2 linked regions of the Oreochromis niloticus genome follow. The protein of the gene in region 1 purifies or fractionates together with the protein of each later gene. This does not show direct contact. Links are inferred from orthologs where the notes say so. Each region holds a gene or a part of one and is shown in the gene's direction. Other genes may lie near its edges.

Region 1 (3,754 bases):
GTGGTGTGTCACGTCAGTTTTTCACTGATAAACGTTCAAAGACTGAGATGCACCAAATTGATAATAAAATGCAAAAAATGTGATGTATCGTCGGTTAAGTTCTAGTTTTCATTGTTCAATTGTCCCAGAACATGTCAACAAACCTCATTTAAAAAACGGTCAGTTTTACAGTGGGACTTTCTATGTAAATATAAATGTCCCACAAATGACAGGTACAAGCTCAAAACGTTCTATATAATAAAACTTTAGCCGAAAAGGGGTTATCGCGTTGTTATCGTTAACAAACACAGTGCCGAATGTTACGTATGACCCAGTGATTTCTTACGGGTCACATATTGTGTAAAACGCACAACGCACTTAGGGTTTCGGCCTTCACCAACAAAAACATATCGTTTCTCAGGGGAGTTTGGAATGGTGCTCACTCGCCATCACACGGCGGTGTATTAGGGCTAGCCTAAAGGCCATCTTCTCTTCTAGGCTTAATTACTAACCACTTTCGTCACTTCGAGTGGCCTCAGCTTGGGCAACAACGACGTCTGTTCCTATACTCCTGTGAAGAAACGCGTCGGTTTTCTGTAGGCACTTCGCGAGGCTGGCCCTTCCTCTCATATGTAACCTGCACACAGCAAAGGAGGACGCCATTGTTTTTCGGAATGAAGCGCAAATGAGCATGCGCCTGGTCCTGGCTACGGCAACCTAGAGATACCAGAAAAGACACTTTCTAGTGTTTAAAAACTATCATCCGATTGCTTTGGGTTGAGTCTGTAACGTCTTTTAAAGGTATCAAATTTGAAATTGAATTGAAATTTGTTTTTTATTTTATTTACTACGAATAAGCTTCAGTGTTGGTGATATATTATGCATCCTACATTAAACGAGACACGTCTCCCGATAGGAAAGCACCCAACAGTCCTGAAAGCTTTTCGTTTTTTTGGTTGTTTTTTTCATTTGAGGAAACAAGAAAAGGGAAAACGAAACCTACAAAGACAGCGAGAGAGGGCTGCTGGCAGCTGACACTAAAGAGGTACTCCACCTCCACAGACACGCCACACTTCCTGTGTTTACTTCGTTCTAAACACAATCCACGGAGCTTCGTACATCAGACAGTCTGCGGGGCGCCACAATGGAGACACAACAGTGCGCTTAAGCTTCCGACTCAATTTCATAAGGCAGGTAACGCGTGTTTTCTGTCACTCAAAGAAGCAACTCCTGTTATTCAGCGAAACTCTATTTTTTCTTTAAGCAGCTGAATATTTGGCAGATAGCTAGTTATAGCTCTACAGCTACTGTTTTTGTTTGTTTGTTTTATTTTTTCTAGGCAGCTATTCTAAAGTTGCATGTTTGGATCGTAATACGGTTTATTTTTTATGTATTTATTTCAAATTTTGCGTGGAGTTTGCATTAACGCACATGTGTATGATGGGCATCGAGTAATGTGAGCTGAACTCTTTATCGCAGCATCATAATGATAATAATAGTTATAATAATGGGCAGTTGTTGTTTTATAGATGTATAATAAGGTTTAAGCTTTCCTGGGGGGGCTTCCCAGCTTTACTGCGAAACTCCCTTCTTTTGCTTGGAAAACAGCCCTGTGAAGCCCCTCCCAGCTGTGTGTTCAGCCAGCTGTATCAAAGCTTCACTTCTTAAGTGTAGTTTCACTGCACGTCCTGCTCCCCACGTGAACCTTCCCAGTCATGAACGATCCGCTCGCTTATACAACTCAAGTCAGCACGGAAACAGTCCCCACACTGACCTCCTGATGTTTGATTTTAGATGGAGCTGGACAAACGGAGCATTAACATGGATTACAAATATGACACGGGAATAGAACTGCTCTTGGCTCACATGAATTTAGAGGACATTATTAACGCTGCAGAGACTCTATATCGGCTGGAGGAAGAGGAGGAAGAAGAAATCTTGTCGTTGGAAGACGAAGAAGGACTTTCCCAGGAGGAGATGGATGAGAATGAGGAGGCAGGGGAGGTGGTGGTTTTGGGGAGTGAGCAGAAGGACTACGCTAATGGAGTTCGATATGGGACTGTGACAGAGGTCCTGTCCTTTGTCAACCTCCTGTCCAGCATGCAGACGGCAGCCTTGCCAAACCTGCCAGAGGAAATGGGAGTCCTCCTAAATAAGGTGAGGATCTTGTTGTTTTTTCTTTTTTTAATCTCCAAAGTAACCTGAATGTTTAGTTTATATGGTCAGGCTAGAAAAACTTGCATAATTTTCTTTTTTTTTCCTTCCTAAAAACAAATCTTGTTTTTGTAGAAGGACATGGCTGTGAAAAAAGGCCGCTACCAGATTAACATGGACGTGCTCCTGTTTCCATGGAAATTGACCTACAAGAATCATGGGTCTGGCCTCGTGCCTAAGGGCTCATTTGGGAAAGTCCACTTGGCTCAGGACACCACCACCAGGAAGAGAATGGCCTGCAAACTGGTGAGTCTTCCTGATCGGTGACTAGAAATCCCGCCTGTGCTTGACTTCTCGACAGCTCTTGGCCTGCGTGCCAAATATTTAACCTGCCAAATACTGCTCGTTCACAGTCCAATTACTCCTCTGTTTGTACAAAGATTGTTGGTGCCAGCGTGACATTTGCTATGTTTACTGAGTGAAAGAGGAACAGCGCCGCTGAATGAAGAACTATTTGTTCTTGTAACAAACTTACAACATGAGCTGGGATTAATGCAAGACTGGAATTTCAACAGTAACTTCCCACAGCTCCTCTGGATGTTTGTGACAGGGTCAGATTCATTAAAGACACATGTGAAAACCACACATGCTGCTTCTATCTGAGCAGATCTATGCTTGAGAAAGAGGAGGGAGGGAGGCAGCGTGCTTACGCTGTTGTATGGAAAATATTGACAAATGAGGAACGAGTACTTTCCTATCTAGTCAGGTGTTATCGTCAGAATACTGTTGACACAGTGTTTTTTTTTTCACGCTGTTGTGAATGTACTGCAGAGGATTTACTGGAAATAGTTTGCAATAAGGGCTTGGAATTAGGATGTCCTTATCTGCTTAAAACAATGCCATCATCAGTTAATAATAACAGAGAAATTATTTCTTTAAAGAAACACGACTTTAAAGTTATCACTGACAAACTAATAACAATAGATGTCTTAAAGCACAAAAAAACAGGATAACAGTATGTTACTATGTCAACTAATCTGTTAAATACAGAAAGAGTCAGTGTCCTTGTGAAGTATGTATTAAATGTATACTTTATTTGCAGAGTTAACTGAGCTGAACTCCCTGATTAGGCTGTCAGGGTAAAAAAAACAATAATTATAATACAAATGAAGCCATTAACTGTAGTTCCTTTAATAGCCACTCGAGGCTGGCTCCAAAACTTCAGCATTTTAAATGCAAGTTGCACATTTTGCTCTCACACTGTGTGGTGGTTAGTACTGTGGATTCCACGCTCCAGACAAACCACAATACAGAATTGGAAGAAGTGGAAGAAAATATATGGATAGATCTAAGTATGCATTTTACCGAGCTAGCTAGTCCAAAGGTGAGGTAGAGAGTAGTGGGTAACAGGCTGAAGGGGACTGCAGAAACTTTAACTGTCAGGTTAAGTATTATTTCCCATAATAACTGAAAAATCCTCTGTGCACTGTCAAATAATGCCACCCTAACCAATAAAATTGCAAAATGTGAAAAGTTAGTCTGTTGTCACTGTAAGCAAACACTGATCCATTTGCCCAACAGTCGCCAGGATGGCTCATTGAGCTCACTGGCTTCATATTTC
Region 2 (3,754 bases), on another chromosome or scaffold:
GTTAGTTTCCACCCTGACACTTCTTCCCACCTTCCTACAATTTTTACACACTTTACACCTCAATTCTTGCTATTGTAACAAGTGTCACATGACTGCCATGTGACATCAAACGACATCACGGCTTCACACCGCTCATGTCTCTTGGTGTGATTGACCCAGAAATACCTGGGACTCCCCACCGGCCAGTACAACTGATGAACACTCTTGGTCTTTAACTCGGTACTCCTACTGTCTAGACAGTAGTTTCATTTTGACCTGATAATGCTTAGTACACTCTTCTTGTAGTCCAACGATGAACCTAAATGGAGCACGGTTTTGATAATGTAGTAAGTGTGACCTATATATGCTAGTTACTGTGCATTTTGTTCAAAGTGTCTGAGAAAAAGGTTACACACGTAAACTTGGAACAGTTTCAGCTAAACGATTACACACACTGTAATCTATTGGTTGTATTTATTTATTTATTACCTCCACATAAATATCTAGGTTCTTGGGACCCGTATTAAGACTATACATCCAAAGCACACATTCATTGCTAAAAGCACATCAGTCCATCATTCTACAGTATGTATTACATCTGTATTTTATACAAAATTGCATAAATATAAAGCCAGCTACAAACTGCAACAACAAGTATAATGAATTAAATTGGAATCAGTGGTGTTCTTTGTCATCCAACTGTAATTACGTTTTTGTAGTGAACACTTTTTTTATGTAGCACTTAAAAAAGAGAAATACATAAGAAAAGTAAAGATCCGTTTATTCATGAGTATTCCCATTTTGCAGTACCAAGAGGTCACCATGAACTGGAGCTGCTTCCAGTACAGCTTGGGTAAATTCTTGATTTGCTACCGTAAGAGACATTGTGTCACTTCCCAAAATATCAGAACAAAAACCAAACAAACACACACAAAAAACGGGATGACAATGTTCAGTCATAGACCGCTGCATCCTAAAATCAACCATTAATACGGCACCGGTGTGGTCCTTACTGCGTAATTCTTTGAATGACAATGCATTGCGGTGCATTTAAAGCTGTGGGAAAAAATTAAAGCCTGACAAAAATGAGTGGCGCGCATGGGGAATTTGTTATGACACTCTACGAGTAAATGCCCTAATGTGACTTTTAGGGGACTGAATGTGTAAAAACCCGGTAAACTACCGCTGGGAAATTAGCGTTTTTCATTTAGTATAATCTGATATTCCTTTCAATATTATAGTTTATACTTTCTGTAGAAAAACCTACAGCAAGCAGCATTTGGTTTGTAGAAAATAAAGTTGACTAAAGCGTAAGCCATTCCATTTTTTTCCCTTCTAAACCAAAGCTATGCATCCTTATAATAATAGTGGCACTAATAACACCGGTAAACATTTTTTTTTTTTTTACATAACTTAATTTTTGTTCGCTCTAACTAGGAGTAGTAGATTTTCCGACGTAATTGAATGCAGCAATCGTCTCTCTTTTTTCAGCCTTTAAGAGACGTAGCTTAAACTTTTAGCTACATTTAAAATATGTGTTTCTTTGTTTACCAAGTTGTGCCAAGACGCTATAAAATGTTTTTTTTTCTACCTGTGGATATCTACAGTGAACCTTTTTGAACACAAGCATGGCTCCTTTTTGACGAAGCTCAAAAAACTCCGCGGGGAAGTTCCCTAGGAAATCCCCGAAGACGGTTCGGGGGATATTATTCTCTGATGAGCCCAATTTCAGACAGTTGACGACGTTGGTCTTTTTCTGAAGACACGGGGCTCGAGGCAGAGGCGTCAAATGCTGGATTTTTAAGAGACTGGTGCGTCTGTCAAAGTCTACAAAACCCGCAATGGATAACGTCAGTATAAACAACACGGATAACGACGTGCTCAGAGACAAAATGCGGAGTTACAGCGTGCTTAATACTCTGTATCATGAGACGCGGCAGGAAATAGACCTTCTGAACAGACAGATCAGTGTAAAGGACGGTGTTATTGCAGATTTAAAAGCCAGGCTGGGGAGACACGAGAGGCTCTACATGACGGTGGGAGATAAGGAGTCTGTGCTCATTAGTCCGTCCAACTCTTTGGTGGAGAGTTTACTCAATGAAATATGCAAACTAAAACAGAAGAAGAACGAAGGGGACTTGAAGGCAGCCCGACAAGCTGAGGTAAAAACATGCTGAAGATTGTACACAGTCGATGTTTCTCCCTACAGCTCTAATCAGTGATTTATAACCATATATAGATTTTTTTTTATATCAGTTTGTTACTCTGAACTGTAAGCTGCTGTCTACTGTGACGCGTTCATTTTACAGTCTCTACTGGAGAAGTGTTCAGGGAACAAAACATGGACCATATCTGACATATCAGTTGCAAGCTGTTGTTGCCATGCCATGCCATTAATCTGTCATCATTGTTCCTCAGGAGATTCAGAGGCTGAACACTCAGCTCAGGGAGAAAGAGCTGGAGCTGGAGACCATCAGATGTCAGCCGGACCACGAGAAGGACCAGGAGATCCAAAGGCTACGGGTAGCCTTGCAGGAGAGGGAGCGGGCCGAGGCCACCAGAAGTGTCCTCTGTACCTCCCTGGCCGAGGAGGCCGACCAGCTGCGCGGGCAGCTCGGTGCAACTGTTAAGGTGTGCCAGGAGCTGATGGCGAGACTGGAGAAAGACAAAAGGGGAGGAGGAGAAGTGGAAGATGTGGCCCTTACGCAAAAGAATACAGAGGTGTGTAAATGCTTTTAGAAGTCACCAGTTGCTTTTGTAATTTCTTTTTAAATAGCTTTATAATACAGCTATTATTTTTTCAACACTTCAGGAGGGTCCTGTTGTAACCTCTGTTTTCTAATCTTTTACAGATGCCAGAGTCCTCTGAGATGGGTAGTCTTAATGCCCAAATCCGTCAGCTTCAGGAGGAGAATCAACAGCTAAAGCAGCGTGTGGCATACGTGAGTCTCATTAGTGTTATCTGAAATCAGTCAGGAAAAAAAATAGACATGTGATCTAATTATGTCCTTAAGGAAACAGATTTCAATTACTTTTGCACACAATATTAACACTCCAGTGGTGGAATATAAAACATGGTGCATGATCAAAGGTGTGACGTTTTGTTTTTTTAATTTCCTTTTAGGTACAAAGCCTGAATACTCAGTGGCAGAAGTATGACTCCAGCAGGGAGGACTATATAAGAGGTTTATGTCAGAGGCTGAAGGACAGCACCGGGCAGGGCTTGATGCCTGCGATGGGCTCCACCAACACTGGATTGCTTCATCAGGAGATTTCCAGGCTCAATGGCTTACTGGAGGAGAAAATGAGGGAGTGTGCAAGGCTTGCTAGAGAAATAGATGACATCAGAAGACAAGACAAGGAGCAAATTCAGACACTTGAGCAACAGGTTGGTGCGATTTCATGCCTGGTGATTGGCTGAGTTCTGTTAAGCACGGTTATAGTGTCAAATAACTAAATGTGAAAGATAAATTTTTAAAAAAAAATCTTTTTTGCTTCCTAAGGTTCTTATCTACACCGATGACTTTAAGTCAGAGCGTGCAGACAGGGAGCGAGCGCAGGGCCAGATTGATGCCCTGAAGGAGCAGGTTTCTCAGCTAAAACAGCAGCTGCACAAACAGGTGAGACAACAGCCCTGCACTTAGGTGCACGAGTGCCTCGACAGAAGCACGGACTTCCTTTTACTTGTTACCACCGTCCAGTACGTGTAGCTTGTGCTGACAGTGTACGTGCCTCCCTGTCTTCAGCAGGGAGCTAGCAGAGAGAGCAGAGACGT

What was found. Proteins that work in one complex are often made in the same cells at the same time.
Region 2: the proteins of map3k8 (region 1) and tnip2 purify together in Homo sapiens (affinity purification with mass spectrometry; 3 studies listed by BioGRID and IntAct, with this or other methods). This does not show direct contact. The link is inferred for Oreochromis niloticus from reciprocal best matches to the Homo sapiens genes MAP3K8 and TNIP2.

Annotation. Positions count from the first base shown.
Region 1 is NC_031974.2:29,561,022-29,564,775, forward strand, and holds the start of map3k8 (mitogen-activated protein kinase kinase kinase 8), read left to right. Parts: upstream 1-871; 5' UTR 872-1,173; intron 1,174-1,773; coding exon 1,774-2,136; intron 2,137-2,268; coding exon 2,269-2,439; intron 2,440-3,754. Other genes in the region: mtpap (poly(A) RNA polymerase, mitochondrial), read right to left, coding at 492-672.
Region 2 is NC_031971.2:13,975,604-13,979,357, reverse strand, and holds the start of tnip2 (TNFAIP3-interacting protein 2), read left to right. Parts: upstream 1-1,460; 5' UTR 1,461-1,820; coding exon 1,821-2,141; intron 2,142-2,397; coding exon 2,398-2,700; intron 2,701-2,831; coding exon 2,832-2,921; intron 2,922-3,103; coding exon 3,104-3,367; intron 3,368-3,482; coding exon 3,483-3,599; intron 3,600-3,725; coding exon 3,726-3,754. UniProt on the Homo sapiens protein: Inhibits NF-kappa-B activation by blocking the interaction of RIPK1 with its downstream effector NEMO/IKBKG.